Lepisosteus oculatus: one gene and its partners. The protein of the gene in region 4 interacts with the protein of the main gene of each other region in a pairwise test. Links are inferred from orthologs where the notes say so. Each region holds a gene or a part of one and is shown on either strand. Other genes may lie near its edges. The genes, in order: rint1, btf3l4, cep44 and txlna.

The links.
Region 1: the proteins of txlna (region 4) and rint1 interact in binary tests that used the Homo sapiens proteins (3 or more experiments, as listed by UniProt). The two-hybrid records come from large-scale screens. The link is inferred for Lepisosteus oculatus from reciprocal best matches to the Homo sapiens genes TXLNA and RINT1.
Region 2: the proteins of txlna (region 4) and btf3l4 interact in binary tests that used the Homo sapiens proteins (3 or more experiments, as listed by UniProt). The two-hybrid records come from large-scale screens. The link is inferred for Lepisosteus oculatus from reciprocal best matches to the Homo sapiens genes TXLNA and BTF3L4.
Region 3: the proteins of txlna (region 4) and cep44 interact in binary tests that used the Homo sapiens proteins (3 or more experiments, as listed by UniProt). The two-hybrid records come from large-scale screens. The link is inferred for Lepisosteus oculatus from reciprocal best matches to the Homo sapiens genes TXLNA and CEP44.

The regions. Positions count from the first base shown.
Region 1 is NC_090702.1:48,097,380-48,105,563, reverse strand, and holds the start of rint1 (RAD50-interacting protein 1), read left to right. Parts: upstream 1-5,031; 5' UTR 5,032-5,081; coding exon 5,082-5,303; intron 5,304-7,811; coding exon 7,812-8,053; intron 8,054-8,184. Other genes in the region: pus7 (pseudouridylate synthase 7 homolog), read left to right, coding at 354-445, 951-1,087. UniProt on the Homo sapiens protein: Involved in regulation of membrane traffic between the Golgi and the endoplasmic reticulum (ER); the function is proposed to depend on its association in the NRZ complex which is believed to play a role in SNARE assembly at the ER.
Region 2 is NC_090704.1:3,619,267-3,627,432, reverse strand, and holds the start of btf3l4 (transcription factor BTF3 homolog 4), read left to right. Parts: upstream 1-4,766; 5' UTR 4,767-4,936; intron 4,937-5,792; 5' UTR 5,793-5,800; coding exon 5,801-5,854; intron 5,855-7,555; coding exon 7,556-7,669; intron 7,670-8,129; coding exon 8,130-8,166. Other genes in the region: txndc12 (thioredoxin domain-containing protein 12), read right to left, coding at 151-203, 1,753-1,813, 3,810-3,897.
Region 3 is NC_090696.1:73,394,545-73,401,941, forward strand, and holds the start of cep44 (centrosomal protein of 44 kDa), read left to right. Parts: upstream 1-4,056; 5' UTR 4,057-4,130; intron 4,131-4,331; exon of another isoform or gene 4,332-4,613; intron 4,614-5,411; 5' UTR 5,412-5,457; coding exon 5,458-5,546; intron 5,547-7,397. UniProt on the Homo sapiens protein: Centriole-enriched microtubule-binding protein involved in centriole biogenesis. In collaboration with CEP295 and POC1B, is required for the centriole-to-centrosome conversion by ensuring the formation of bona fide centriole wall.
Region 4 is NC_090706.1:3,310,541-3,318,589, forward strand, and holds the start of txlna (alpha-taxilin), read left to right. Parts: upstream 1-4,833; 5' UTR 4,834-4,944; intron 4,945-6,474; 5' UTR 6,475-6,482; coding exon 6,483-6,645; intron 6,646-7,678; coding exon 7,679-7,954; intron 7,955-8,049. UniProt on the Homo sapiens protein: May be involved in intracellular vesicle traffic and potentially in calcium-dependent exocytosis in neuroendocrine cells.

The DNA of each region.
Region 1 (8,184 bases), on a different chromosome or scaffold from region 4:
TTTTTATTTGGTCCTTCACTCATCCAGATAATCTCCAGTGTTTCTTATGCTTGCCGTTTCTTTTGTATGCTAAGGGTATTCTTTACCGTGAAAACTCAAGATGTGCCCCCAGCTGAGTCAACTCCCTGGGTGCAAGATTCATGCAATGCTAGTTCTGTTGTCTGCAGTGTAATGCAAATCCTAAATGAGCTTTTTTCCCCACGAGTCTTCTACATGTTTGCTGGTGTGTGCCACCGCCCTCTTCTGCTCTCCTGTGCCGTCTGGAGGCGGCGGTGGCTTTGGCCTTGCGGCCCTCGCGTGTCCTGGGCTGACCGCGGCCTGGGCGCCCCTCTCTTCTGTCCCCGTCCCCGCAGGGAGGTGATCAGCTACGACGACCCCCGCATCCCGCTGGTGCACACCGATGTCGAGAAGCTGGAGGGGAAACCGCCGCCGGTCTTCCCCAAAGGTCAGTTGGATTCTCTCCCATTCCCCTCGGGGACACACGCGGGGACACACGCGGGGACACACGCGGGGACACACGCGGGGACACACGCGGGGAGGGAGAGAGAGGGAGAGAGAGGGAGAGAGAGGGAGAGAGAGGGAGAGAGGGAGGGAGAGAGGGAGAGAGAGAGAGAGAGAAGGGGGAGCGGTGTGGGTCCGAGGAGGCTTCAGGTCCAGCTGGGATTGGGACACGGAGCGCCCCCTACTGGCCCCTCGAACGCCTCTTCCAGCAGTGGTCTTGGCTTTCCCAGGAGTCTCCCCTCCAGGCACTGACCAGGCTCACGCCTGCGGAGCTCCAGTGGGCTGCCAGTTCTGAAGGGGGATCGCTGCTGGCTCAAGGACAGGAAGGCCTGGTGTGATCTGCCACAGTGTGTAGTCAGGCGTCTTCAAAGCTGGTGTCGGGACCTCGCGGTGCAGTGTGGTGTCAGAGCACTGGGATTTACTCCTTCCTCTCCTCTCTCCGTCTCTAGAGGGTCAGTACCGGGCTCTCAGGATGGAGTTCTCCTTGCCCCCCTCCACCTACGCCACCATGGCTATCCGCGAGGTACTGAAGATGGACACCAGCATCAAGAACCAGACCCAGCTCAACACTACCTGGCTCTGCTGACCTGCGCCGCCTGACCCGGCATCGAGAGTGTGGCTTCAGTGCCGCACAGCCGGGCTGCGTGATTGTGCGGCTGTCCAGCTGTGCACAAGTTGCTGCTGCTCCTGTATATATGTACAGCCGCGTCTGTTGCGTGTGTGTGTTTTGCAGTGCTGTGGTCTGGCCACACCTAGGGGTCAAGGGTCAGGACAGACACACTGCCCAGCAGGCCTGCACACGGACGGCCGCCCCTCTGAGCAGTGTTTTTAAACGAGAGAGGAGAATATTGCACAAGGGCAAGTTTTTATTTTTTACTTTTTTTTTAAGTGTTACAATTTAAGGCGAAAGCAGGGGAAGTGAAATCGTTTTACTTTACAGCACTAGTGAGAGCAGGGAGGTGGCGATTAGACTCTACTGACTCTCTGTGCCAAGCAGTTTCTAACAGCCCTGGGATCTGTGCAGGGAGGTATTTTTTCTCATTTGTAGCCCCCTGGTTATGTTCTATTTTATACTCTCATTTGAAATTGCCCGTTGTTTAAGAGCTCTGCTGAAAAAGCCGCACAGTGGAGAATGAGAGTAGGTGTACGTGCCCGCCCATCGGAGCCTTTCATCTTGTGACGCATGGCGAGCCCCACTCCCTGACAGCAGTGCTTCCCAAACTGGTCCCATGTGGAATCGGAAGAGATTGTTTAAAGATCTGTGTTTTTGTGTGGCTTTTCCCAGCATTGAACCGAAGGGGTAAACAGTTCTGTCCCTTGAAACAAACTCAGATCATCACATCAGGCTTCTAGTCCAAAAAAGTGAACTGTGATATTTCTCATCACAGCTATAGTCTGTTAATGGCACCCAGCCCTGCTCCTGAAGGAACAGTCTTTGCTCCAGTGCTGATCGATGACTTAATTGATCTGCTTTCTTGTTTAGACTTTCATTGAACTTGTTTCATCTGTAAGTCCTGTGTGTCAAAATTTCCCGAATTCAAGGTTACCACTCCCAACACGTTCAGCATGTAGAACGCTGTGCCGCCTCTCCTCACCTTACAGAGTGAACAGCTCTTGGTAGCCGATCAGCTGCTGGTGAGCAGGTAGAGGTGGGAATGACGCAATGAGCGCTTCTCCTTCTGCACAAGTCTGATCAGTTACATTTCAGGGAGCGCTGCTGGAGGAGGGCAGCTCTGCAGCTCAGAAACTGGTACAGAGCAGATGACAAATACAAGCCCCGATCGACCTTTTAAGAGCTGCAGGTGAATTTACAAAATAGGTAACTGAGATCGGTGAGCCTGTGATTAATTACTCAGCTGCAATAAATAGAGGTACAGTTCTTCTAGGGCCAGGGTTAGGAACCACTGCTCTATGTTGAGAGTTTAAAATAATTAACTCTGGCAATATGGGTGCATTTTATTTAACGTTAAAAGCGTGCCGTGATCTGAAGAGGTTTGGGAAGCACTGCCTCTGGTGGAGAAGCTCCTAGCAGACGCCAGGGAGCGAGATGAAATCGGACCCTGGTACTCTCCCGGTCAGGTGTGTCCTGGTCACGGCCGGCTGGTGACTGCAGCCCACTCCGTCTGGGACGGCCACACCCTGCTGCTCGGCTTCACACACTGTGCCTGAGCCGCCCCGCTGGGCCGCCGCCGCCATTGTTTTAAACTGGACACCTGTATGGATGATGACTTCCTCGAAGAATAAAATGGCCGATACAAGAGTCTGTGTCGTTGTGTGGATCGAACGGCGGTGGGGGGTGGGGGGTTACTCCCGTGCGTAATTTAAAATCGTGTACCGGATATAAAATACATCACTTATGGATCCAACACGTTTACAGCCATATCGGGGAAGATATTTTTTGTAATAAGTACTTTGAATTGTATTGAAAAGACGTGACCTAAAATACATTGCCTGTAGGTGTGACAAATTCACGACATTATCAGGACAGTTTGTATAGCGGATACCCAGGTCAGGCTAGTAGCATGTGTGGCCACTGTGGGAGGAAGTACAAGCTGTACGTCTGGGACTCGTGACTTGTACCAGGTTGCAGATGCTGTGATGTGGGATTCTGTCCCTTTCCTCTCCTACTGCCTGGAGCCTGTGCCTGGTCACTGGTCTCTGAGCCCTAGATGTCACATCACCCCAGCTCATCCCAGAAATGTTTGATGGGGCTCACATCAGGATAGTAGGGATTCCACAGTATAACAGCCAGGTTCCTGTCAGTCCCTGCCTGTGGAGTTCTGTAGTGAGTGGACACTTCTGCCCAGTGTACACAACCACCGTCACATCTGTAACATCAATCGGGGTGGTCGACGCAGAGCGATGCTTCATCTCTGAAGAGGCCTTGGCTCAAGGGCTCTCTCCCCCTTTACTCTGATGAGCATTAGGCCTCTGTGTGATTGTCTGGCCTGCAGACAGTGGCTGCTCAGCTGCCCCCACAGCTGAGAACTGTAACGGACTGCAAGTCCAGTGGCAGTTTGAGATGACGGTGCATGATGTCGGTTCTGGCGAGGTATCGCGACTCGTGCTTTCCCAGATCAGTCCCTGTCAGTGCTGTTACGTGTTGTAACATCTTGCCAGATTTCGGAATAGTCGAGCCTTTCACATTCTGACGGCACAAAGACATTGTTCTCTTCGTCTGCTGGACAGATTCTGGGGTGTTCTTTCTTGATCCCTCAGGGTAATCCTTGAACAGGTTGAATCGCCTCATCCCCTGTGCTCGGTCAGCTCTAATGAAGTGATTCAGCGACTACACAACCGTCAAAATGACTTCCACAGTCAATCATGAATGATCAATTCATAAAACCGAAACTACAAACAACTTCTATATGGGCAACCTTTCAAACAGCTGAAATACTTCTGTTTTATTTTCCTAAAACATGTATGTACGGTGATTTTTCCACTCTGGTTATTGCCTTATAAAAGGGCAATAATACAGTGATGTTCCCTGAGCTCAGGACCTGCGTGGCATGGGCTTGGATGGTGCTAGGCTGTCTGCTTTGATCTGTTCCTGTGGTTTCTGGGAGAGGACGATGGGTGGTCAGAAAAAGAGGAGAACCCTGTTAGAAGTAGGGCCTTGCTCACTTTCCACAGTCAGACTGGTCATTTGTAATGCAATGGTCCAGCAGGAACGGTCAGCAGGCATGTGTGAGAGCTGTTCCTCAGGTCAGTCTGTCCACATGTCTTAAACAAGTCTGTCCAGCCTTCCCGAAGGGAAGATTCAGCAGGGGACAAGCAACGGCGGGCTAGTGGGAATGAGCTCTTCATGAAGCTCAGATTTTTTTACTGTAAACTTATGGCGCCATTTTGCATCCTATATTATTGTTGGGCATTTTTTCAGGTGCTTTTATCCAGAGGCGTTTGGAGAGAACGTCGCCTGGATACAGTCATAGCCGAAGTGCTCTGCTCCAGCTGCACGTTACAAAGGCTGTGTAAGGTTTCCACTGTGATGGTGGAATCCTTCTCTGCCATCACAGAAAAGGGTTGCTGTGCATGGCCAAGTCAAACCTGACTGAGTCCAGGCTTTGGGGTTTTACTGCCTCTGCATCATCCCCGGAAATATTTTCTTGTCTGCAGGATGGAGAGCAGACAGGCCATTCAACCCATCTTGTTTGTTATATAGAAGCTAGTAGCAACACCTGATTCAATAATTCAAAATCCTCAAAGACACTGACAAAAGTCAGCACTGAAGCACAAACCTATGTGGAAGAGCATTTAAAACCGAGAACAGGGGGCACTTCTTTACCCAGAGGGTTGTGGAACAATGTTGCTTCGGCCATGTTGCTGAAGCTGATACTCTTACTTCCAAGAAGCAGCTGGATGAGATCCTGGGATCAATTAATTAGGTACTAAATTCCAAACGTGTTAGACAGGTCAAACGCGCCTCGTTTGTCACCTACGTGCTGATGAAACAAAACAAACTGAAGGGCATCTCTCGGGCTGGGGAGCGCCTGCAATGCCTCTGGCTGCCACAAGAGGGCGCCGACCCCCCGCTTGCTGCTGACGTGGAGACGGGCCGAGAAGGACGCTTGCGAGTAAATATGGCGGCGCCCACGAGCGAGCGGGGCTGTTCCAGAAGCGGCGGTCTACCCGGTTCGGGAAACCCGGACAGCAGTCCGGGGTCCAGGGAGGAGGAGGACGGCATCCCGGAGCACGTCACCCAATATGTGGAGAGCGAGATCGGCGGGGATCTGAAGTCCCTGAGGAAAGTGAGGGCCCTGCTGGAGAGCCTGCTGGCGGAAAACAAGCTTCTGGAGGAGCAGGTAGGGCAGCCGGTGGGCGACACGGGTGACGGGGGCTCGGGGTGGGTCAATGGCAGTCCGTCTGCAGCGCTGTCCGCCCCGAAGAGGATAAAAGGACGGGACCGGCGCAGGGCATTCATTATAATACGGCCAGTATAAAGTGTAGCTCAGCCCGTTATTACTGAGAGACCAGTAACCAGTGGCTGTTTGTTACTGCTATACGCCCGGGTCGACGCCCCTGGTCCCTCTCGGGTCCTAGTGTAAGAAACGGGTAATTATTAATAACAACAACTCATCATAATGCCGGAGAAGCTGTCGGAATAACCGGGGCACAGAGCCGACACGGTCGCGCTTTGCTGATCCTCGTTGTACATGAGGCTCTTCACGCCCGCTATGAGCTGCAGCACAAGGAGGGGAAAAGTGCCTGAAATCCTAATAAGCAGGGAAACGACAGAGAACCGGCCCGCAGACTGGGGTTTGAAGTGTACGAGCCGAGTCCGCAGAGACACACGGACAGTCCACACGCCAGTGTGTGTGTGTGAGAGAGAGAAGTTTTCTGTGTGTGTTTGCGTCCCCGTTAGCGCTCCGCCGGTGAGCGCTTTGGCACATCGGGGTGCGATTGTCATGCACATCATTTCGGGCACAAAAGAAAACGTCCTTTGCATAAAGTCCAGCCGAGACGTGGGAAAGCGCCGCTTTCATGCAGCCCGGCTCGGCCTCTGCCGGGAGTTGTGCCAGATGAGGAGGGGTCTGTGGGGCGGTTGCCCTGCGCAAGACCTCATGCGGAGCAGGTGACATCAGTCTGAGCGGTGGGTGTGAAGAAGTCCTCGCTCTTCCGGCGATGGGTTGAAAATATTGCGATCTCTTCCCCCTGATGAGCTCGGCCCCTGGGCAGCCCTGTTCTGTGCAGGGGGCTCAGTTTCCCACCGAGACCTTGAATCAGGGCGACTCGCACAGACAGGCACTCAGGTTCGCTGAGCTTGAACGATGCCTGAACGATGAATTACTGCAACAATAAGCAAGGCATTAATGTTTACACTTATATAGCGCTTTTCTGGACACTCCACTCAAAGCGTTTTACAGGTTAATGGGGGCTCACCTCCACCACCACCAGTGTGTAGCCCCACCTGGATGATATGACGGCAGCCATAGTGCACCAGTACACTTCCCACACACCAGCTCTCAGTGGGGAGGACAACAGAGTGACAAAGCCAGTTCAGAGATGGGGATTATTAGGAGGCAATGATTGGTAAGGACCAATGGGACATTTGGCCAGGAAGCCAGGGTTACACCCCTGCTTTCTTCGAGAAACGCCCTGGGATTTTTAATGACCACAGAGAGTCAGGACCTCGGTTTTATGTCTCATCCGAAGTATCGTCACTATACTGGGGCATTAGGACCCACATGGACCGCAGGGTGAGCGCCCCCTGCTGGCCCCACTAACATGTCTTCCAGCAGCAACCTTAGTTTTTCCCAGGAGTCTCCCATCCAGGTACTGACCAGGCTCACACCTGCTGAGCTTCAGTGGGCTGCCAGGTGTGAGTTGCAGGGTGACATGGCTGCTGGCCATAATTTGGGATGCTCACTCTGTTCCTCAGGCTGTGACAGGAGATCACATACTGGGCTGCAGCTCTATTGAAGCTGTTCCCATTCTGGCAGGAGTGGGCATTCTGGAATTAGATGTCGTAATTTAGGGAAGAACATTGGCCTAATCCCTGAGAATTTTTTGCAGTGCAGCAGAAACTTTTTCTCTGTCCCTATGTCTCCCAACTGGCAGTGGGAGCACAGCCTGTCCTCTTTTAGCAGTGAGGTCTGCCTGTGTCCAGTTTCCATGGGCAGGCTGTGGTCACTGAGTCTGTCCTCTCTGGGCAGTCAGGTCTGTGTCCAGTTTCCATGTCCAGGCTGTGGTCACTGAGCCTGTCCTCTCTGGGCAGTCAGGTCTGTGTCCAGTTTCCATGTCCAGGCTGTGGTCACTGAGCCTGTCCTTTGTCAGAATCTGTTTCTCCTTGTCCCATGCCAGTTTGTGTTGTTTGTGTGTGTCCTGATGGGAGAGGCGGTGTTGTGTGGTCACTGCGTAATCTGTGTACTATTGGGGTACAGCTCCCCTCCATTGTGGACATTTTTAAAACTCGCTGTCTCAAGAAGGCTGCAGGTATCACTTACGTCAACAATCATCCCGGTTTCTCATCTGTCTCCCCCCTTCCCTCTGGTAAGTGTTATAGGAGCATAAAGGCTTATACGTCCAGATCCAGACGTACAGTTTCTTCCCACAAGCTGTCAGGTTACTGAACTCTGCCCCTGCCGCTGGCTCACACTGATGGCCTTTTTTTTGTCTTTTCTTCTCACCCTGCTTGTCTGACTTGTTTTTTTTAAGTTATATGTTATTTAACTTGTTGTTGTTCTGTGTTTCTGTTTTTTGGTTTCCTTAATGTCTTCGTACTGGAGTGTACATGCAGATAAGCGTGTCATTGTGCCTGTGCTCATGACGCGTACACGGACACGTACCTGGTCTGCTCTCCCCTGCTGCAGGTGCTGACCGTGTCCAGCACCGTGCCCCTCCGCGTGTCGGCGGCGCTGTCCGCGGCGGAGCAGGCCCAGGACTCCCTGCGCCACCTGCTCTGCAGAGAGAGGGCGCTGTCCAACACGCTGCACCAGCACCTGCAGGGGGCGCAGTGCTGGGCCGACCGGCTGGGGCCGCCCCTGGGGACGCTGGACCTCACTGCCAGGCACCTGAGCTACCTGAGGTGTCTGGGCCGCATCGAGGAGCTCAGGTGAGCAGGGGGAGGGGCAGAAGCACAATAGCACAGTACTGCACAGCTTGAACCACCCCAGTCACCAGGGCACACACAATCACAGCACACGCTGGCCAGCTGCTGGACCCTAGAAAGAGAGACAGCACGCA
Region 2 (8,166 bases), on a different chromosome or scaffold from region 4:
AAACCCATCATAAAAACCACTTTTATCCCACGTCTAATTTTGTTTTCCGTATTCAAATGTGCACCTGTGCATTTCTCGTGTCTTTGCGTTTGCTATGTTTTACTGTAAAGCGCCTTGATGATTCTTGAAAGGCGCTGTATAAAATATTACCTTTGCAGGCTCCACACCAGGACTTGTGTATGATGACCATGAGGGGCAGGCCACTGCACATGAGGACACAGAACACACAGTCAGACCACGTGGTCACTGATCATCACTTACAAGTACATCCCAGTCCGCTCTGCAGCACCTCGTCACAGAAGGCACTTTATTGTGTCCCAGTTGCTGTATTGTCTAGTTGTCTGTTATCATGCTTGTTTTGGACATCTGTAATCCTATCGTGAGTACTGCATTAAGTACAGACATAAAGGGATCACATCAAAGAAGAAAGCAAACTACAGTACAGTCCCTGTGCTTCAAAGTATTGGGTTACTGCAGCAGGTGACAGAGATGAACACTAGATCCCAAAGGGAAGTCTCTCACTCTTTCCACCTGCGTCTCTTGACAACCAAGATCATACAGTATGTCGAGGCTTTTTTGAGAACGACAGAGGTTACGTGAAAGCGAGTGGACCAACTGTGATGCAGCTGAAAGGAGTGAACTTGACTTTTCCAGCAGGGAGAACTCCTGTATTTCTCAATGTCCTCGAGAATTACGGGAGCTCTCGGACTTTCGTTGAACATGCAGCCAGAAGCTCCTATTTCACAAATTAATCCGATTACTCCGTTGAAATGAAAATATCAGATCAAAACTGGCGTCCACTGCACTTCAAGTGCAGCACGCCATAAGTGCGAGTGGATCAACAAATTTCATGTTCTAATACAGAGGCTGGCACAGAAGATAAACACCCTATTCCTTTCAACTCTTACGTTTCCCTCTTAAGTCTAGCTCAGATCAGTTTTTTTTTATTAATTTATATTCAATATTCTTTAAATTTCATACACAAGCAATTTGGAAGGGGTAAATATTTAAAGATGTCTATCCTGCAAAGATCGACAGTGAAAATGAAAGAAAGGGGACGTGGGTGGAAACTCAGAAGTTGTGCATTTAATAAGTTGTTGCAGGAGTCTGGAACAAGCTGCCCAGCCCAGTTGTGGAAGCCGATACCCTTGAATGATACCTTGTATTGCTCTTCTACTCAATATTAAACAAGGGGTGAATGATGTTTAGGTTTATACAATAACTAGAACTTTGGTATTTTTTGGGTAAATGTAGTACATAACTTATATAGTTCTAATTAAATAATGTTAGGATATCTAATTTGAAGTGTAGGGTTTAATTTGAGGAATTGGATGCCAAACTTGTACAACAATCAACTAATACCTCATTTAGAATATTGTGTACGATTTTCTTTCTTACAAAAATAAATATTGCTGCTTTGGAATCAGTCCTCAGAAGAGTGACCAGATACATTCTCAGACTTAACATGTGCCACGTCAACAAGCTAAAAGAACTAAATATTTTCGTCTGGAAAGAGAGGATGTTACAAAGGGGACCAGACCAACACAAACCAGCAGATCACAGTGGAAACAATGGGGGAAAAGGGCCTGTAAAATTGAGAACATGACACACTTCTTCACACAAAGAGTGGCGGGGGTGTTGAACAAGCTACCCTGCCATGCAGTTGAATCCGATACACTGGCTGCGCGAGATCCTGGGTCCAATTGGCGACTATATGCCGAACGGGCTGGCTGGGGCGTCTCAGGTTCTTACCTAGCATCTGCTTCCCTTTTGCCATCCTCCAGACTCCTCCAGTGAATATTATCACCAAACCCTGCAGAACAACAGGAACAGCGGGATCATCCCTCTGCCAGTGGCGGAGTTAAGCCGACACAAGCTCAGAGGGAGTTTTACTCTCTTTGGTCTTTAAAAAAAAAACAAAAGAGTAGCCAAAGCATCTAGACTGGAATGAGGGAAAAAGTTCTTCAAAGGCTTCAGTAAGATGGCTTTGACTGATACCGTAACCATCCCTTGAATAGAATACCAGTAAATGGCTTTCAGTGCACTGTGCGCCATACCAGTTACCTCCTCCTGTACACTTGTTAACAGACAGCTTGGAGAATTCATTTCAGGAGCTATTTTAATAGTTTACTAGGAAGATCAAACCAAAACCGCTAACAAGAGTCACATACTGCACATAAAAATGCAGTCAGTGGGGAAAAACGCGCTGAAAGTGCTTCTGAAGATATGCTTCCTTCTTTAATGAACTCAAAGAAAGCAAGAGGAGGTCTCTCAGAGTTACAGTGATGTTTTAGATTGAGGCAGCATTGAGGAGTAGTGTTGAGGCCTCCGGGCTGCTCACTGTAAGGTAGTAGTTTCAGTTCCTGTGCGAGGTATTGCTGTTGTACCCTTGAGCACAGAACTTCCCAGAGACTTCTTCAGTAAGAAACCTAGCTGTATAAATAGGTCATTCTGTACTGAAGTGTCAGAAGGACAAAGTAATGGCAATGAATATCTTTCATAACCATTGTTCTGTTACTACAAAACCTGACTGTGACAGCTCCAGGTACAACAATGATCTTATTCACTAGCTTGACCGGCCTTTAGTGTTTCGCGACACTCCTAGTCTTATATTTCAGTTTTGTATATCATATTGTATTCTGACAGCAGATTACCCATTCCTCTCTACAGAACAGGTTGCCTTTCCTGCTGTGCACGTATTGTCAGGACTCTCTTCTCCACTGGCTGCAGGAACGAGAGGAGGCTTAAAACACTGAGGAAGAGGACGTAAATGATGAAGGACCAGTGCACAACTGGCAGCGCCAATAGGCACTGCTTTCGAGCTTTCCTTTTACCCAAGCTGGTTAGTCCCTCATGGAACCTACCTTTCCTTAAACTGTGATGGCTAAGCTCATTCCACTGGTTTTAGAGTTTTCAGCATATTCACGGGAAATTAGAAACCCGCAGGACAACTGCAATGTGAGGAGCAGGTCAGTGTGCTTAGGTTTTGAAAAAGTTAACAATAATCCAACAAAAATGCTCAACAACGGCCTGCTCACGTTTGTAACCGTTCTCATGTCCTAAATGAATCTGATTTACCGTATTAAATAAAGATCAAACCGTCTGTCCTAGAAAGTCCTAAGAAAGTCCGATGACCTCCCTTCATTTATGGGGAATTGGAGAATCACATGAATGGCGAAGTTTTATTGTAGAAAACAGTACAAATGGAAAAACAAAACCGTAGCATTTAAAAGGAGATAACCTGATATATTTTGCAGCGAAACTACTTATTTTTGACGCAAAGAGAATCGGATTTCCATTAACAGCACATTAGACAACACTTTTCGAACTTAACTTGCTGGCATTGTCGTGGAACCTCGTTTGCGTAAACGATTTGTTACAAATGTGTAAACGTATCCCTAAATACTTTCGCAACACTGTAACGCATCAGCCAGGCCAATAAGGATTTGTGAGTGTGATTATGCAAGATAAAATATTATTTTAGTATAGTACATGCGAGCATAATAGATATTTCACGAAGGATTTTATTTATACACCAGAAAACATGATTAGTTCACCTCTTCAGTCTCAAATGAAATCTACATGCTACTACTGTACATGGATCTCACTAGTAGAACTGCAGTATGAATTTCACGATTTTCGGAGATTAAATAACCATTAACTAAAAAAAACAGTTCGTCCCTCTCTCTCTCTCACCCACACAAGGTTCACAAAGATTTCTGTAACAGACATGCAGTGATGCCTTCAGTGAAACGCGCTGCCGACCAACATGAATTCAACATTCATCACCAAAATATAGCACACCTCACCTCTGCCAAGCCCCTCTCCTGTAACCACAGAGAGAACGACCAAAAAGCACAGCACAGTAAAATTAACCAGCGGCATCTGCATCTTCATTATGAGTTTCAGATTTCGGTAAATATAGGACTCAACCTTGTGCCAAGCCACCAAAACAAAAAAAAAATCCAACCCCCCACCCCCAGCGTAATTTTACTCTCCTGGTCCGACCTCATCGAGGAAGTGACGACAAGCTGCTGGCTCGGTCTGCGTTTTTTTGTAATTAAAGGGATCGTAAATATTTCACCTCCATTTTCCATACAGGCGCACGGCAGTGCTAAGCAGAGAAGAGCACGTTTCCAAGCCGCCGTCCGGGGGATTGCCACTCTATCTTGAGTTACTTTTGAGACGAAAAACTATTCCAGCAATATTTTTGTATATTATTTAAATGAAATAAAAGGTAGCACTCATATACGGTTGCTTAAAGGGGAATTTTAACCTCCTCTTTTATATGTGATCAAATATCTTAAACTATTAAACTCAACGTTCAGATAACAGTGTTGTTGTTAATTGCTATTATATCAGTGCATGGCTTCTATGAAATAAAACAATCTAAAATTCTAGCAATGGACGGTCTATTTTAATATTGGCTACAACATGTGATGCGGTTGGCAATATGTGAGAGCAGTCAGCGATGGGATGAAGCAACAAAATACATATTTGGCTAAAATATTATTGAGCAGTAGTTTGACGTTCCAAAATTATTGTATTATTGAAAATAATTTGTGATATAATTTAAATACAATATTATAATTTTGTGATATTTAAGGAATTATTAAGTGTTAAAAGTCATTAAGTAAAACTACTGTTACAGAATTTTCTATCTAGTATACTGAATTATAAATTATTGTGACCACCGGAAGTCGTGCCGGCGGACTGTTATTTACTGCGACACCGCGACAGCCCTCTCTTCCGCCAAGGCGGGGGGCGGGGCCTCTGGCCGTCACGTGATAGCGGACGCAGGTTCTCCCTTAGATCCGCCATCTTTCGTCGCCGCGTGTTCCTGTCTCTGCGTCTGTGTCTGGATCCCCGTCAAGAGAGAGGCCATCTCTGCTGTAGTGGTGCAGAGGGGACGGAAAATAGAAAAACAGTAAAAAAGGTGCGGGGAAGAAGGTTACCGTGCGAAACGAACCCATAGAATGTTGTCATCTTTTTTTCCCCGGCCACAGTGTGTGGACAGTGTGGTATTTGCTAATGGTAGCCTGCGTAAATACTACTGTGTTGGCTGAAAATGGGCCTTAGCGTTTATTCGTAAGAAATTGAAGTGCTGGCATAAACCTGGAGCTGGATTTGTGGGTATTTTTGTTCGTATGTGATACTAATATCGCGTATCAGAACAAGTGGGCGCATTCTTGCTGGGTGTGCTGGTCATTTTAATAAAGGCACGTTCATTGTGACTACGGTGTGTGTGTTTTATCTCGTACGCTAGGCAGTGCGCCGAGGGCAGAACCCAGTTGCAGTTTCTCTTTTTTTTTTCTTTCCTGATCAGTCAGTGTGTGCTGACATGCCCGTGAAAGAGCGAGGTTTTATCAAGGCGCCGATTAAATGTCCTCTTGTCGTTAACACGTGTTTTTATTGACATTTATGTCTGTCCCTTCTCGTGTGAAGTGGATCTGTTGGGGACAGCCTTGGTTTTTACGTGAAGGGTCACTATGATTATTCCTGTATTTTTTTTTTCTGCATCTAAACCGAGTTTTAGGTTGGAAGCTCTTGATGAATGCTGGACCTAAAAAAGGTTTTTAAAGCACTTAAGTAAAACTCAGTTGTCCCCCTGCAGAAGAAAGTAAGTTTGAGGTTTTGACTGAAGTTCTTAAAAACTCCGGTACATGACTGTAACTTAACAGCTTTATTCACCAGCTGCCTCTCCTGTGCTCCGTCAGGCACAGCTGCTGAGTGAGGTACCAGCTCTTTCTTGTAAAAGTAACAGAAGCTGCTGTGTTCTTTTTGTGTTTCAGATAACGCTATGAATCAAGAAAAATTAGCCAAGCTTCAGGCCCAGGTTCGAATAGGTGGAAAGGTAGGAGTCTTTTTTTTTCTCACCCCCGATCTCCTCTACAGCTTGTCTTTGCTATTCAAAGTAGTAACAGAATAAAATCCGGTCAAGTTATCCCTCTCAAATGGCTTTCATTAGTACAGTTATTTTGAACCGTATGTCTTGTTCTTTTGTTATGTACTTTTGTGATTTCTTCCCAAAAGAACAAGGCAGGTCCGCGGCAGTCACATCGCTGACTAGCGCTTCTTCAAGAACGCAAGGTCACAAGCCAGGAGGCCACCTGGCTTGTTTAATTGATAGATGAGGACTGAGTTCTGCTTGCTGGCGGACGGTCTGTTTTGACACGCTGTACCTGTAAACCCGTCGATAAAGCCACACCAGGCCTGACCCTGTCAACTTCCAGCTCTAGGGGCGTTGACCCTGCCGGTCCCAGTCGGGATCAGACGATCTCGAACGGTTGATCGTGATGAGAAGCCCTGCGTTTACAGTCCACTCTAGGTTGGATCGGCAGTGCGGTTAGCCCCGAGATCAGTAACTCAGTAACTCTCCTGGTTATACAGTGTCGTGCTGCCAGTCAATGCAACACCAGCACATGGAGGCCAGGTTTTACTCGATGGGCATTCTGGGCGACATTTCTTTTTGCCGTCGGCGGCAACATCGGCTGCTCGACGCTTGCTCGGTCTGAGCATTTGCACGGGATCAGACCGCCACGTGGCTGAAGCTGATACTCATGGCTTCCCACGAGGAGCGGCCCCGTAGGATCCTCATGGCTTTAAGCTTGTAACTACAAAAGGGACAAGAGGGGCCGGATGGCCTCGTCTCGTTTGTAGCCTTTCTTGTGCTCTTAATGACGTCGGTCACGAGTGAAGCTGTTCGTCCCTCTTCCTGGGAAGCCGGCACACCCCTGAGGAGAAGGTGCAGTCCGAGGCAGGGTTCACAGTCATTCACCCTGCCGTTCTGGGAGTGGGGTCAAGGTCTACTGGGGTTGATCGGATGAGAATCAGAAATGGCCGTGTCAGTGAACCTGTCGTTCTGTGACTCATCCATTTAATAGTCTTGCGGCTTTGATAGAGCTGAGCATCCCTTGATAATGGCGGATGAAGGGGATGACTTTGAAGCTCACCCTCCGGTCAGTGGAGTGGGACACGGACCCGTTGAGCACTGTTTGGAGACCCCTGTTATTTGCCGCTTGGTCAAAGCAAAGGGGTAAAAAGAAAAAAAACAGCTCTTCGTGCTGTCCACACAGGCCCTAGTTCTGCTTGCATCGGCATTCCTTTCATGGTGGTGTTTGGTTTGTGCCATTCATGCAGGGGCTGGTGGCTTTTACCAGCTCTGCGATTTCAAAAGGACAAGAGGCTCATGTCCCTCTACTGTCCCATCTCTTCAAAGCCATTCTGTAGAAGTTCGTTTAGTAGTATGGCTTCTAGCAAATTTTGGACTCTGGGTTTTGGGATAGATGATGGAAAACATCCAAGGGTTTAATTTAAGCCAGTTCTTCCAGGTTTTTGATGAAAACCTATGTTCTTTGTGATTAACGGGAATTGGCTGAAATGTTAGCTTAATCTCAAAGAGAAATGTTGTCATTCTCTTGCAGTTTTGTTTTGGTTATTCATTGCTTTCCACATCCTGGATCCTCAAAACTGTTCCTGGCTTCCTCCACTCCTGTTGTTTTTGTGCGCGCGCATGTGTGCCTCTGTCCCACGTTTTCTCCTGTTCGGTCTGCAGGGAACAGCGCGTAGGAAGAAGAAGGTGGTACACAGAACAGCAACGGCTGATGACAAAAAACTTCAAAGTTCTCTCAAGAAACTGGCTGTGAACAACATTGCAGGCATTGAGGAGGTGAGTAACCTCATACAAGCCCAGTGTCACAGGGTCTGTTTCATTGGACACCAGTGTAAAGTAGCGGTGAGGGATCTGGGCTTGTATTGAGAAAGTTGTGGGTTCAAATCCTGGGTGAGGCACTGGAGTTGGACGTTTTAGCATGGCACTTCACTTGGGTTGTTTTTGTAGAACGCCCAGCTGTATAAAATAGGTACAAAGGTAAGTCACATTGGATAAAAGTATGAGCCAACTGATAGTTATGTACTTAAGGATCTTCTGGCCCTTTCGTGATCTGAAACAATCTTGAAAGGAGTTCCTTAACGTGCGCAAAATAGCAAAACCACTTCGTTTAGCCTGACTGTCTTTAATGTGGCATGTGAAGGCAGATGTTGATAGTAAAAAGAAAAGACCCGGATAGCAACGCGATTTATCCCCCCCCCATCGGGAGCTTGTTCTGATCGGCGGGTTGTCTCCGCAGGTGAACATGATCAAAGACGACGGGACCGTGATTCACT
Region 3 (7,397 bases), on a different chromosome or scaffold from region 4:
AATGGAAACAGCTAAATATCATGTTAGATTGCAAAAGACGTTTGTTTTAAGAGATCTAAAATATCAACTTTACATTGACACAGTAAATGACAGGCCTGAAAAGGAAGAGGAGAAGCCCTTCTTCATATGTGTACTTGGATTTTCAACCTATTTAGAATTAATAGGCTAACTAAAGTGGGGTTATTTTATTATTATTTTAGAAGTATATAATTATGTCGTAAACATATCTTTACATATTTGGTCTGGGATGAGAGCACCTTCATTGCTTTATCTATGATGTTATTTGTTTAATTATAATGGGATTCAAAATTATTTTGCCAAGTTACCAGCTTTGTGATCACAACCTAACAGAATCATCCCCCACAGAGGCATTCCTAAAATATTTCTAATTGTTTAAAATGTAATGTGGGCAGGACAGCTTTAGGATTCTGACACTATAATTGAACTTGCTTTTCAACATTCTAGCATAGAGTGTACAGACAAGATAAGGAGTGGGCAAAGCTTTGTAAGAGTAAATAAAATAGAATGCATATTATTTTCAAAATTTCAAACAACATGGCTAAAAGCACAAAGCTATAAATGAGAGGATGCCAGTTAAGAGGCCTGATGTGCGCAAAACATCAAATCCTATCCTATATCATGTCTACAGTACTGATTTCTATTTATTTCTGATGCAGCAGAAAACCTTCTGTATTAATGGTAATGCACACGGTACAGAATCTTGTACAAAAACCTTAAAAAACATAAAAACACAAATATGAGTGATCAGGGATTATTCAATAGCGTTGCACAAGGCATCCATCCCATTTTCACAGTTGAAAAACATTACCAAAAGATAGACATTTATATTTTTAAATGACCAAGTGAGATAAAGCTCAATTTAATGGTAAATTCTGCAATATTCTACTTTTTTTCCATCTCTGCATCGGGGAAAAAGCTGAAAAGGGAAGCGTTAATTGCTCTATTAAGACTAGCTTGTGACGTGAATCCATTGGCTACATCCCTCTCATTCCAACTACACTTTGAAATGGGTCAGATATACCGTAGATAATTTAACACAATGACAAGTCTAAAAATATTTTTTTCCAACAAACTGAATGGTGTGCATCTTTATCCTAATCATTGTGCCGATGTGCCACCCATCTTCAAACATTACCTACCAAATGTTTTGATGGGTTAATAACTGTATAGCTCCCTCAGTCAAAAACATAAAACACTGCTATACCAACACATACAAATTCAGACATGGATATACACACAAACTCTTTAACAGACTCTATAAAACACCTAATCATCTAAAAAATAAAAAAAGCTTACACAGTTATATCTGTTTTCAGCAGTGAAATCACTGATATTAAGGGGAGAATGAAATTACATGCTGAAATGAAAAAAAAAGTACAGGTACATCTGGTTTGAAGTTTTTAAATAACTTTGAAACATAATTTTTGTCAAGAAGAATTATGAACCAAAATTTTTTAGACTTAAATGAATATACCAGGACTCAATATGAGCACCTATCCAGCAAGCTGTTCTCTTCAAACAGATGTCTATTTATCCATTCTCCACCAGAGGATCACAGAAGGGGAGGAGCTCATCCAGGCAGGTAACAGGCACAAGGCAGGGTACACCTTGGATGGGACGCTAGTCCTTCACAGAGTACACACACTTTTGCACCTTTTTCCAAGCAGCCAATTAACCTGCCAGTATGTCTTTGAGCTGTAAGAGAGCACCTGGAGAAAATGTGGGTTTTCTCTGGGTGCTTCAATGTACAAACATACAAACACCATGCAGATAGCACCCCAGCAATTGAACCCAGGGCCTCAGTGCGGAGAGGCAGCATTGTGCCAGTGTGCTAGCCATCTTCAAACACTTCTCTCGATATTGCCATTTCAGATTTTCTTCAGTAAAATATCTGAAGTCTACAGGTTTCACTTGAAACCAAAAATAACTTGCAATAACACACTACTCCCAGAAAGGGATTTCCTGCCCTTTTGTTTGTTATGGTGTTACGTGTGTTTCTCATAGACTGGAAACCACTATACAGCAAACGGAGGTAGCTTCAGTAGATGCATTTTATTCATAATAGGTTTTTTGGAAAACTCCTGATATCTTGCAGGATACTCTTATACAACTCGACTCCGAACATATAGTAGGCTAGGTGGCAATCAAGTACTTGATTCTCAGTGGTGGTTCCTACTAAACAAAAACGCAGTTCAGTGATAATACATTATTTTACACTTAAATTTGATTACTGCCGTCTCTACTATTCAAATACAGATTCTCTTAAAGAAAAAAAAATACATTTAATGAAGGGGGTAGATTAAGGCATGCTTTCTGAAGCAAATACGCTTATTTAGAAACAGAAGACTGATTCAAGGCATTTTCAAATGTAAATGCTCACTAACCTCCAGTGAGGAGATTGCTGTATTTTTCACATACTGTATAGGCCTACTGCATTGTACATGAGTACGCAGCTCCGTTTTGCTGATCTGCCTAGAGCAAGAACAGGGTCAACATCTGAGATTCAGAAGGCCTAAACCTGCAGAGTCTGAAAAAAAAAAAGAAGTTAATAATTGAAGTAAGGTGCTTACTTTGGGTTTACACATATAAAATGTGATGCGTCTTGCTGAACAGCACAAGATTTCATAAAGCAGGCCCACTGTGATAATAATTCCAACTTACAAATACTACTTCCATTATGTAGGATATAAACTGCAGCCTCCATGACTGATGCAATTATGCACCAGTAGCCTCATTACAAGTAAGGCAGGGTCGAGAAGTCAGAAATATATTTAATGGCTGAATTGGGGGGAAACCTTTTAGGCCAGAATGCACAATCCCAAAGAGATAGGACAGCAGGGTTAAAAGCACTCCTCTCATTAACAATGCCATCAGATGCTAAAGGACTGGTTCTTTCTACAGTGCAGTTCCACACTGTCACCAGACTGGGGTATTGATGCGAACATTCTGGTCCAGGGAGACGTTTCTGACCGGAAAAACGCTGCAAGCTTCTGAGATCTGAGACCGATTTAGGCCAAAAGGGGCAGAGGCTGCTGGCACAGATAAATAACTATGATAGTATTCTTTCATTAATAGCTACATTAGACAAGAATCTACAAGCATGACAACCAACTCTCCAAAAATATCAGTAGTAATTCAAAGAAAGTGTTACAGTTCAGCTATCCACCCTGAAGCATTACGGAACAGCATCTGGTGTTCTCATGAAGTATTTTGTCCATTGGCTACACTTACAGTTCGTAGAATTTAGGTACATCTCTTATATTTGTATTTGATATTAAAATCAATGTAACGACGCACCTCCGGCGACTATTAAAGCATTACTCGACTAGTGTTCGGCTGTGACCGCAGCAGGAGTTCACTAACAACTCGCGGGGAAGCTACTCATAAGATCCAGTCGCCCGTTGGCTGTGAAAACAAGTGTTGATCATAAATCACCAAATACTCAGGAAAAATGAACGTCGCCAACTTGTGACAAGTGCTGTGCCACCAGGCGACTGAACACTGCACGTCACAGGCGTGACGAAGCTGTGCCTACTGCATTGTCCGACAAAACAACAGGTCCTGCGCACGACTTTGTTCAAAAAGCTCCCCGAGAAGTCCCAGCGGTTCTGGTGCCGCTTCAGCAAGCTTGACTGAGGTCCACGCCTGTACTCCACCATAGGTGGCTTCTACAGAAATCTGCCACTGCTGTGATTGGCCTGGCCTTCTGACACTCAAATGTTTTCCCTTCTTTGTTAAGTTCGGTTGATTTACAACAACAACAACAACAGCAGCAACAGCAACAACAAGGGAAAAACAAAACATAAGAAAACGCCACCTACCTGTTCAAACTAAGGAATTCTACCACCGCCGCCGCGACGAAACAGCGAAGACTAACAAGCACTTTCGCAGGAATGTTTCTCTTTTCCTCCGCGATCAGTTCCCAAGCAGACCCATCTGAGACCAAAGCTGCCCCGTCTTTTCCACAGGAAGATCGAGTACTGTCTAACCTGCGTCTGTAGCGCCTCTTGCCACCTCCTCCTCCTATCCGTGACCGCCGGAGCTACTTCGCTCCGTCAGCCTCTCCACTGCTGTCACTTTTGACGTCCCGTGTTGTTGGTGGAAATGACGTAAGAAAGTAAATGAGTAAATCTATCTTGGGATCAATTTCCTTTATAAAAAAAACAGACTTAACCAGCATAACACATTCATGCTATCCAATAATGTAAAATTTCGTTACATTCAGTAAAAAAAAAATATTTTCACCACCTGGGCCAAACAGATTGACTTTAATTGTTATCGAATGTGCGTCTCTTAATTTAAAGATAATTGTATGCTTATATGTAGTTAACCAATGGCGGCAGTTCCCATGATTAACCCGGCAAGGAACAAACTGATTTTTTTTTTGTAAAGGAGAATTGTGTTTACGGTAGTTAGCAAGATAGTTTATATCAGGGTTTCGCATCTGAAAATAAATTCGTGATTTATAACAGTAACCGAGTGTAACATTTACAAGTTTTAGATTTTAATTACAGATACAGCTGATATATAAATTGTCACTGCTGTTACTGTATTGCTGTTGAGTTTTAGTTACTACAGCTGTAAATAAACTGGTAAGTAAAACTTTTTAAAGAGGAAAGGTGCATGTAGTTAAAAACTTAACATTTTAAAAGAAGACCTACGAAGTTCTGTTAGTTTCAAGTTTGCAATAATTGTCGATTGCTCAAATGTTATTATTGGTAATTCAAATCCTAGCGCTGGTGCATGTACAAAGTTTGCAGTGGAACTCAAATTGCATTATTCTAACAAGTCGAGAGTAATCATCTGACTTGCACTTTGTATCTTTTGTTTTAATGGCACCATCTCTTAATTTGTCGGTTTACGTGTTGCACCGTTTTCAAGGTTACATATTGTGGTCTTCTCACCACAATATGTAACCTTATATATAACCTTCTTCAGCACAAATCACAGTAAATCTAAAACAACAGTTGCTGCAGTTCTGGTGTGGGCGATCCATTTGTTCTTGTTTGTTCTCGGAGTTATCGTGGCAACACTGCATTTTCCTGGCTTCTGAAACGACTTAATGAAACAGGGAAAGCAGCTGAATAAGTTCAAACAGAACCCTTTTCCTCACAACTGTACTGATTTAATAAATTAATAGGAAACTGTTGGTTTAGTTACTGTAGGTAGCAAGGTACGTACCAATAACAAGAAACGATATAAATGCACAGTACGTTACAGATACTGCCCAAGAGAAATGGGCAAACTGTCAGATAAACCACATGTACGGTAGTCGGTACCTTTCAGAATGTATTCTTACATTTAATCGAGTCGTGTATTTTGTAATTTATCGTCATTATTCGGGTAGTGAAAAATGCTTCACGTATTGACCACTGTTTTTTCATGCTCAGAAACATCAGGTAAACACACACACACACGCAAAAATCTTCAGTGACAATGGCAACGGGGGATCTGAAAGGCAGTCTGAGAAAGCTCGACCAACATCTTCGATTACTTAATTATCCCAGAGAAGTGGATTACACTGGGTAAGAGCGATTGTATAATTGTTTGTCAGCTATACGAAAGTCTTTTGTATTCCATTTCTCCCATCCGCCCATGCAGCCTTGTCACCTTTGCCAATTCATTGTAATGATAAAGAGTTGTCTACTTTGGTGTAAATACTGTATATAAGGCCATATAAAGGATATGTGTAGAATGTATGACTCAATTAAAAGCAGTACCCTCTGAGCTAGTGTTGGCCCTGAAAAGCTTTAAATCCCCAGACACGGTGAATGCTGTTGGTGATCTGTGAATCACAACCTAGCAGAGCTTTAGAAAACTTGTGTAGAATCTGTAACGTGCAGCCCGTCAACTTTAAAGCAGCTGTTAAAGATGACTTGGGGGAAAAAAAAACTAACTCTTGAGCAAGGCAAAATAGGACCTAAAGCAGAAATGATGATTCAAGAGTCTGAAGGGGGTCTGTTTAGAAGTTATTCTACTTGAATCTCCTGCCTTTAAAACAGTATTTTATGTTTGGGAAAACGAAATCTCAAAAGGACAATATTGTTTCCTATATACATTGTGAAGATGTCCAGACTAATAGAAAAACAGTTAAAGCATTGCATTATTATAGCCACTGTCTTGATTTTAAGTTATATTATTAAGTAGTGGTTGATGTAGTAGTAACTATAAACAAAAGAAGATAATTGCTTAGATGCAAATGTGATGGACATAATGTCTGATGGAGGTTTCCTTACAGTTTAAGGGGCACAAGAAGCCCTCAGGAGATTTTTACTTTATTCTTTAGTCATTGCTTCCTTCTAAGGACCTGTTATAAAACCTCTATACATCTCATGTCATACATGTGGTTTTATTTACTAATAGTTAGATTAACATCTGGTATAAGCACGTTTCTTTAATTTCCTATGATGTAATTTTTTGTTATGCTTTCTGTTTCAACCTTTGTAGGCTGTAAGGTCACAGCTTTCTAAAAGGAAGAGATTCTGGCAGCTATTGTAGTTTATTGTTACCATGCCATTTTGTAAACTGTCAAGGAAAAAGGCAACTTGGAAAAATGGGACCTGTTGTTAGATTTATTACCCTGGCTGAATCACCTTATTTTACCTCAGGGTTTATTAATACCATATTAATTTCTTATGTCCGCGGTTTCAAAAAAAGTTAAAAGAAATTAAAATTAAGGAAATGCTTTAAGAAGTGCTGTGGTATTGATACATATGGTATACATTCTTTCTCTTTATGGAAATAAGCGGTAAAATATGTGCATGGTTTTCATCATAAGCGCATACACAGCAGGTATTATGAAAGTAATTTCTGTCTTGACTTACAAAGAGTTGTGTGTAAGGAATTGCATCAATATATTGTGTGCCTCGTTTTTGCCCCAATAAATTCCACAAGAAATAGGCCACAGCAAAGTTTTTCAACACCGTGTGTCATGACTATGAGACTGTTAACTACATAGATTAAAGAAGGACAGTTAACCTGTCTCCACCTTAGAGGAATGTTTAAAATTGAACGTTTTAAGAGTTACATCACTTCTCATTATACTGTATTGGGGAAATCAGAACAAAGTTAATTGACAATTATGTCCCATATGAATGCAAGGAAAGTGTATGTTTTCAATAAACATTTAGTGCAGTTTTTTCCTGTATCTGTGTTCAAGACCTGGCAGCAGAAAAGTGAGCTGTTTTGTAAACACCCTTATATTTACATTAACCAGCTCTTCTAGCTAAAACAGATCTGAACTGAAGATCAGATGCGCTGATATCTGTTTGAAGTGCAGACTGTTTGCAGTTAGAAGAAAAATATTTTCCATAGATACGTGTAAAGTCTCCCAAACAAATGGGCAATGCAGTTTTATAAGAGGATAAGAAGACCCA
Region 4 (8,049 bases):
TGCAGGAAAAAGTACCACTATCGTATCTTTACTAGGCTTAATTTATGTTGGCTTTGTACTCCAAGCACAATTTAAAACATCTGATGCAACTGAAAGTCAAAACTAAATTCTAAAAAAAGTCTAAAAAGGTGTAACACGGTTTTGTAAAAGGAATGGCCGATTTAGCTGACCATAAAAGACATTTCAGAGGATGCATGTCGTGTGTGTGCGCATATGTATATAAATTTGTGTGTGTGTTTATGAATGTATGTTATTTAAGGGTGTGATTTGTACCTATGCATATATTTGTGAGAGAGGTTCAGCTGCCTTTGCCTTCTGTGTGATGTTTGAATGATTATCCAGAGTGAATCATTCAATATTGCAAGACATTCTCATCCTTTCAGAAAGCTCCCACAGTGCGTTACAGCAGAGCTGGGCGTGCTTTCTGTGAGAATCTAGTTTCTCATTTGCTTTTCTGTCCTGCTGCTGTTCACAGATACAAGACACTTCTGCTGGTTTAGTAACTGCCCTCAAAGCTCAGATGTGTAGGCTGTTAACTATGCAAAAATGCAGCTGGGTTGCAGCCCTGTGATAATGTTCCCCATCTTCATGTTTTCCTTTTAATATCTATTAATATTCCAGTATTTTTTTTTATTGACAGTTTTTGTACATTTTAGTTCTACGTTGTCAATTGGCTATATTCCAGATTGTTTGAAAATGAGATGTTTTTATACATCTAGGTCTTGGATTTTTTTTTATAGGTGTTGGGTATTTTGGGGGGAAAAAAAGTTCTACAAGAAAGTGCCATACACTGGCATGTAAAAATAACTAAGCAACAGGTGTGTTACTAATAAAAATGTCTAAATGAGAAGGAATGGAGAAAAACATCTCCTTTTGCTTTAGGGTGGAGCCCGAGAGCTTTTTACTGGATTGGCGAGCCAGAGTTTACTTGCACCTGTAGATGTAAATAACAGGAAACATATCCACAAGAAGAATGTGAGAATATTGTTTGGAACAAAAAAGAGTAATGCACTCCTCTATTCACTGAAGTGCCAATCTGACCAATAAAGTCCCTGAAGGTTTGTCTGAGTATCTTCTTGGTCTTTATGACTTCTTGTTTTGTACTTGAATGTGCACAATTGTTTGTGCAAACTTTGCTGCTTTATTTGCTTAACTGATGAAGTTACATTACCTGCTACATTTTTTTAAAAAAAGTGGTGTCCTTTACTGTTCTTGCACTAAATTCTTTATATTGGATCAGAATTATTTAATTGTCGGGTTGATCTGTTTTTCTAATTTATTGTGTAGTACTGTTTTCAGATCTGCTAGTGATGGAAGCCATGGTATCTGTATCCGGAGTTTTGGTCATTGTTTTTGTATGAACCTTACCTGCCGTGCTGAGGGTGCACCTCCCTGTTTTCATGGCAGCATGCTGCAGAAGTTAGCCACGGTTTTTGGGCAGCACCTGCTTGGCTCTTCCATGTCGAGCGATCGCAAGCTCTTCTGGTTTTTGTCTCAGTTCAGTGGTTGTGGTCACAGAATGGTCAGCACAAAGTATTTCTGGGCTTTCGAACCTCTGGTCAGTCATTAGACTTCCACAGTCTGTTCACCAGCTTTGCAGATTTTTTTTTTTTCCAGTCTTCTTTGAATGTTGGTGGTCAGTGGGGGTTACTGACATTAGTCAGCTGGGATTAGGATGGGATAAAATTGACTGGCGGAATTTCTGAATTTCTAGTTAAAGAAATCTCCTTACAGACCTCCCGAATCAAACTGTGAAAACATGAACCATGCAGATATAGCAATAGAAACCTCCCCCCATTTGTGCGGACAGAGGATAAATCCACCCTTCTCGTTTAAGTGGTTGGGAATATTCTACAAATCTGGTGGAATTTTAAGCACAGGTTTGTTTCTTACATATCAATCAAGAAACTTGGAAGAACAAATCCAGTTGCAAGTTGTAGCACTAACTTCATGTGTTGATAGTTGTATTCTCACACTGCAGAAGTGTTCGTTGTCTTCGGTCATGAATTCCACAAATCAGGATCAGCCAGTAGCTTAAAATAGCCACATCCATATACTGATCCTTCGAGTCTGTTTTAATTCCCTCCTTCCTGTCTTGCTTCCATTTCCGATACGTCTTGGTGTTATTATTTTACTGTTTCCTTTACAGAGCTTTTATGCAAGGTGTTTGTGCTGTTATGTTGCATATTTTAAACACTTATTGTATGTATTCCAATTCAGTTTACAGGGTAGTTATGCATGTTTCATATGTGCCACAGAGCAGAGTTTTATGGTTCAGGATGGATCACGTACTTGTAATGAGGTGGGGAGTGAGGACAGAATTGGAAAGGGCTGTAGAAAGTGTTTCTGCAGATTTGATATATGCTATACTGGATAACCCTGAGATCCCTTTTTGGTCCTTTATTTTCTTTTTGTATTTGATTTTGGCTTGCTTGTGACTGACGCTTTGACACTGACTCTTCTTCAGCCGACCATGTGAATGAGTGTGAGGACAGATTCAGACGTGAACACGAACAGAACATGATACACATATACATGAACATGAAACAGAAATTAACAAAATAAATGAAAAAGGTTATGTAGGGTTACAAATACTGTAAGAGAATAAAAGTTCAATAAAAATGTCATTGAAATCTTGTTGCAATCTTTGTGTGTTTTCTTTGTGTTGTGACCAGTTATAGGAACTTACAAAATCTACCAATTGTCTTGCATACCTTAGTATGCACCAGAATCGGGAGAGATGCATATATACCAGTGTGATTAAAATAAAATCTGCATTCTGATGTTTCATGTTGTGTTTCCTTGGTGAAACAGAAAACACTGCCCTGAAGAAGAAACTGACATAAATTCTGAACATATCCAGTTAATTGTGATTCACATGTTGCATGTACTGCAAACATCCTTTACATAAAAACTGGGACCAGGAAGTATTTACCCCTAACGGGCGGGGCAGTGGCTCTGTGGCTGGAAGGTAGCCAGTTCAAATCCCACGGCCGCCAGAGGAATCCTAATCCATTGGGCCCTTGAGCAATGCCCTTAACCCCAACTGCTCCAGGGGTGCTGTCTAAATGGCTGACCCCAAGCTTCTCTCTCTCTGTCTGTGTGCCTGTGTCCTATGGAGAGCAAGCTGGGGTATGCGAAAAGAGCAATTCCTAATTCAAGAAATTGTATATGGCTAATAAAGTAATCTTGTCTGATCTTAATTTAATTGATTAATCCGATCCCTCAATTTCCCTTTGGGATCAATAAAGTCTTATGATTAGCCTCAAGACTTCTTTGAGCTGCATGGCCAGTGTATAGGCCCCATTGATTCAACTGAAACTTGTGGCGCCTCTGCAGTAAGATGACATATTGCTTCCTAACAGGAACATGTGTGTTGCCGTATGATAGTCTCATGCAGAGCGTGATCAAGCTTCAGACTGGGATGTGACGTTTTACTGAGACAATCTCCAATCTCCTTCAGATGTCACAAACAGCATTAGTGCAGTGCTGAGACATTACATGCCAAACACCGTGTCCATCCTGAAAATGAGGTACCCAGAGGACGCCCACATGCAAAGATGTGGGTTGCAGATCAGGATCTTGGATCAGGGTCACACCCCCTCCGTAATGGAGCAGTCCTTGCTGGAATATTCCAGTCTGGCAGCCTCTGCGAGGCGAGGATGCGTTTGGGTCAAAGATACCGACTGCACTGGGGCCCTGGGTTCAATTCTCTGTGTGCCATGTGAGTGGAGTTTGCATGTTCTCCCCCATTTCTTGTGGGGATCCTCCAGGTTCTCCCAGTTTGCTCCCACAGTCCCTGTGGCAATCTTCTGCAGTCAAACACATACTGGTAAGTTGACTGACCTCTGGGAAAGTTGGCCCTGCCGTGAGTGTGACTGTGTGTGTGTGTGCCCTGCCAGGGACTGGTGTCCCACCTACGGAATACTCTGCTTGGACCCCAGGCACTTGTCAGGATAGGCTCTGGCTTCTCCGTGACCAAGCACTGGATAAAGCTGTTAAAAAAAAATCGATAAATATAAAATCCAAGCGTAAATACATCAGAAAGCAGGAAAAAAAACTCTTCAGGGCTGCAGAGAACCATTGGAAATTTTCAAATGTGTGAAAAAACACGTATTATTGTATAATAATACATGTACATGTATAAAATGTATTATTTTGTTAGGATTCCCATGAAGTGGGGTTACCATACAGACGTCTTTTTCCAGACGTGTCCACTCCTGTAGTTCTTAATTATCTGTCCAGGAGGAATTTTCAAAACAGAGATTTTTTTCCTTAGATACTTTAATAGACCCTGCTACAAATACCACTGTCATCCGTCGACAGAGTGGCCTCTCTTTTGAACGTTCAAATGGAAACCCTACCTAAAGTAGTAAAAAAAAAGTTTCATTTATGGCTATATACTACCACTACCTTAAAGGTTTATTTTAACATTACACGCTGGTATCACTGCTTAAAGTATTATGCTCAAATCATAAAATATATCACAGACCTTAACAGGTGCCAATAATAGAGTATGAGCGGTTATCATTATTTATTTAGATCTGGACAATAATTTAGAATTGTCTTTTGTGTCCGGGGGCGAATTTGTTAGCTTTAGGAGTGCCATAATTGTTTTATCTGAGCAAGTTTCGCTTTTTACCAACAGCTTTTTGTGTCACGGTTATGGGAAACAGAAAGTTTATTTTTCCAAGCGCATTGTGGTGATTGAAGTCCTCTAGAAGCAGGAAGAAACTACATCGACCATGAAGCATTGCGAAACTCCGGCCCACCCTCTCCAACTTTCCCCCAACGTCTTTTCCTTTTATCTTGCACATCCGCTTACGGCGTCGCCAATCAGAATGTACCAATTCACCGGTATTTCCGGTGTGTCAGTTGGCAGGAAAGCAGAGTGTTGAAGTGTTTTATTTGCTCGTTTGAGACGATACAGATATTATTTCAGTGGTAAGTGTCGTAGAAATAACAAAATGCCTAGTTTTTTTTAGCAAGACTGGAATTACGAAACTGTGTTTTGTATGTATAGGCGATAACGTGAAGTTGTGAGTAGCTAGTGAACGTGATGAAGAATTATTCGGTTCTTTTCAGTAATCCTATTTTGCTGATATCGTAGTGACTTTTGTCGTTAGCTGTGATCCACATGGATTTTTTGTTCGATTATATTCTAAAGAGATTTAAGTTTAGCTCACCCCTTTTTTTGCTTAAGAAAGTCTGTTACTAGTTTTGTATCACTGTTGGTTTTAAAGGGGACTGTCTATTACAGTCGGCCAAATGTAACTTGATTTGCCTTTTTTAATCGTGTTGTCCCACCTACGTGATGCTGTTCAAATGCGTTATCATGGACAACCCTACGCATGTTTTAAAGTAATGATTCTATTTGTTGAGGGGTTAACAGAAACTTTGGATTGATACACGAAGCGAAAATAAAACAATGTCCGATACTAATAAGACACTTAAGTGTCGTAGGGCTGGCTTCAGGCGGTTGGAGCCACTGAAGTTCAGTGATTTCCAAAACAAAAAATAACGTTGTCACAACGGAATCTCATGTCAATTTTAGTGTAGGTACGCAGGCGTATCGGGGTCTTACTGCAGTCCTGTTGGAGCCTTGATCCGGAATAATATTGTAGAGGCTGGTTTTGAAATCGGTGTAAGTGGCTTCAAAGAAACGGCTAATCGTGTGAAACGTGTCACTGAAGTAACAGACCGAGTCAGTTGTTGCACTGTCTCCTGTTTCTCACGTTTGGCTTCATCTTGGTTTGGTTCTGCGAAATCCAGGAAATGTGTGCGCATTTCTAAACGTGCTCCTTGCTTAATTTGGGGATCTATCCCCTGGAATGATGTAAAATCACGCAAGAGAAATGAATTTCTTAATAGGGTTCGTAGCTCATGACAGGATACGTGTGCCTGTCGCCTGAAGGGTGTCGAAGGGAGCAGGGGTGCGCGCTCAGAAGAAGCTCTGTGTCTGTTTCACGATTTCGTTGTTCTTTCTCTTCTGCTCTGAGAGGAGGAAATGTTGTCTTTGAAATCCATCCATGTCCGTCGCAGGGCACACACGGATACCAACGCACACACTCACATCTGGGCCAGTTTTCCCAGAGCCCAGTTACCCCGCCAGCATGTCTTTGGACTGTGGGAGGAAGCCCACACAAACACAGGGAGAACGTACAAACTCCGTGAACATAGCAGCTCAGGTCCGGTACTGGGCCCAGGGCCCCAGCATTGAGAGGCAGTAGCACTAACCACTGCGCCAATGTGCCGCCCGAGCCTTTTCCTTGAAATTAAAAATTGAAAAGGTAATCCCTTGCATACATGACGTGTAAGCCATTGGAATTTCTGGCTTTTTAGAGGTCACTGTCAGGCATGGGTAGTGATCATCACCACCTCAGTTGCAGTGTAACCGCAGCAACAGCAGCGTCTAGTGAAAACGGCGGCCACTGCAGAGCTCCAGCCATCATGCCTTGCCCTTCCTCTTGGCAGCCGCCGTGATGAAGAAGCAGGACAGTGAAGGGCCCGAGCAGCTGTGCGGAGGCAGTGGGGCTCAGCCCGGAGAAGGGGAAGGGGCGGCTCTGGAGCGCGCTGGCAGCCAGGAGTCTGCGGACAACCAGCAGCCTGACACTCCGCCTCCGGAGACGCAGGCCAAGAACGGGGGTAAGTCGGAATCTGCTCTCGCATCTGTGGAGCGCTGCAGAGAAATAACCCGGAGATCATACACTACTTCACACTGTATGTCTTCTAACAGAACCTACCACCCCAACCTCTTAGTCTTGTGGGAAACCATTTAAGCAGCTAGTCCTGGTCTTGGCTGAAGTTCAGGACAGAAGGAATTGAAGTTGAATAAAGTGGAGACAGTCTAACAGCCAGTGGGGGGATAGGTTTGGTCCCTGCTAGGGTAGCTCACATGATTGCAGTCCAGGCTTGCGTTGGAGCTACCAGAAATAGCAAACTGATGGGGGCTTTAAACATCTTCAATCACCAGTGAACATGAATCTATTTTTTTATTCCGGCGATAGGTAAAAGATGTTTTTCATTGCACATCTCGTCAAATCGCAGGCTTTACGAATGCAGTGTCCTTAGAGTATTGCAGCTCCCCAGCAGGGAACAAATATCAAAACCTTGCCGAGGCACTAGGAAACAGATGAAATGACAATCCAGAATGTCCATATGTGATGTTTGCTTCTTGTCCTGAAGGTCAAAGATGACTTAAAGGCCCCACTGGTGAAAGGCTTGACATTCTCTGGAAAGAGCTCTCAAGTCCCTGTTAGAGGTGACCACAATGTAGCTGTTATTTTAGATTTCTTTGTCATGAACAGCCTTAGGATCCCTTGTGGTTGGTGAACTATTAGAAGAGTTATTATTCCAATTAAACCCTTATTCCTCAGGTCTTAAGGTGATGATGCTTCTATCTTTTTATGTGCCAGCGTTACTTAGACGTACCACCATTCAGAGTGCTTACACTCCTTCCATGCTCTCCTGTGTCCTGATGGGACCTGCAAATGTCCGTCAGATACAAATGTAGCATCTTAAAACATTTCGATCTGAAACCTAGAACTGTTAGACTGTGTCTCTAAGTGAGGTTAGCTTGAGCGGCTTAGACGAGAGTGTCTGCCTCAGTAGTTGCAGCCGTTACTCCCCGTTACTGGTGTCGGCGCCGCGCTGACGGTGCGCGTCCCGCCCTCCACAGCGGTGTCCCGCGACGTGTCGGAGGAGCTGAGCCGGCAGCTGGAGGACATCCTGAACACGTACTGCCAGGAGGACAGCGGGGAGGACGGGGCGCCGCCGGAGCCAGCAGAGGGCAGGAGCGAGTCGCCCCGCAATGGCGAGCCCGACTTGGACTGCCTGGTGGTCAACGGCCTGGCGGAGAAGGAAGACGGCAAGACGGAGGAGCCCAAGCTCAACGGGGACGTCGCCGACAAAGACCAGAAGAAACCGCAGGAGAAGAAAAAGGTTAAGGGCCTCGGTAAGACTTTTCACTCGCTGGTCACTGCACTTTGGAGCAGTGGGGCAGTTCTCCTGCGGCTTTAGACTCAGTTGAAATAGTTTAGATTGAACTGG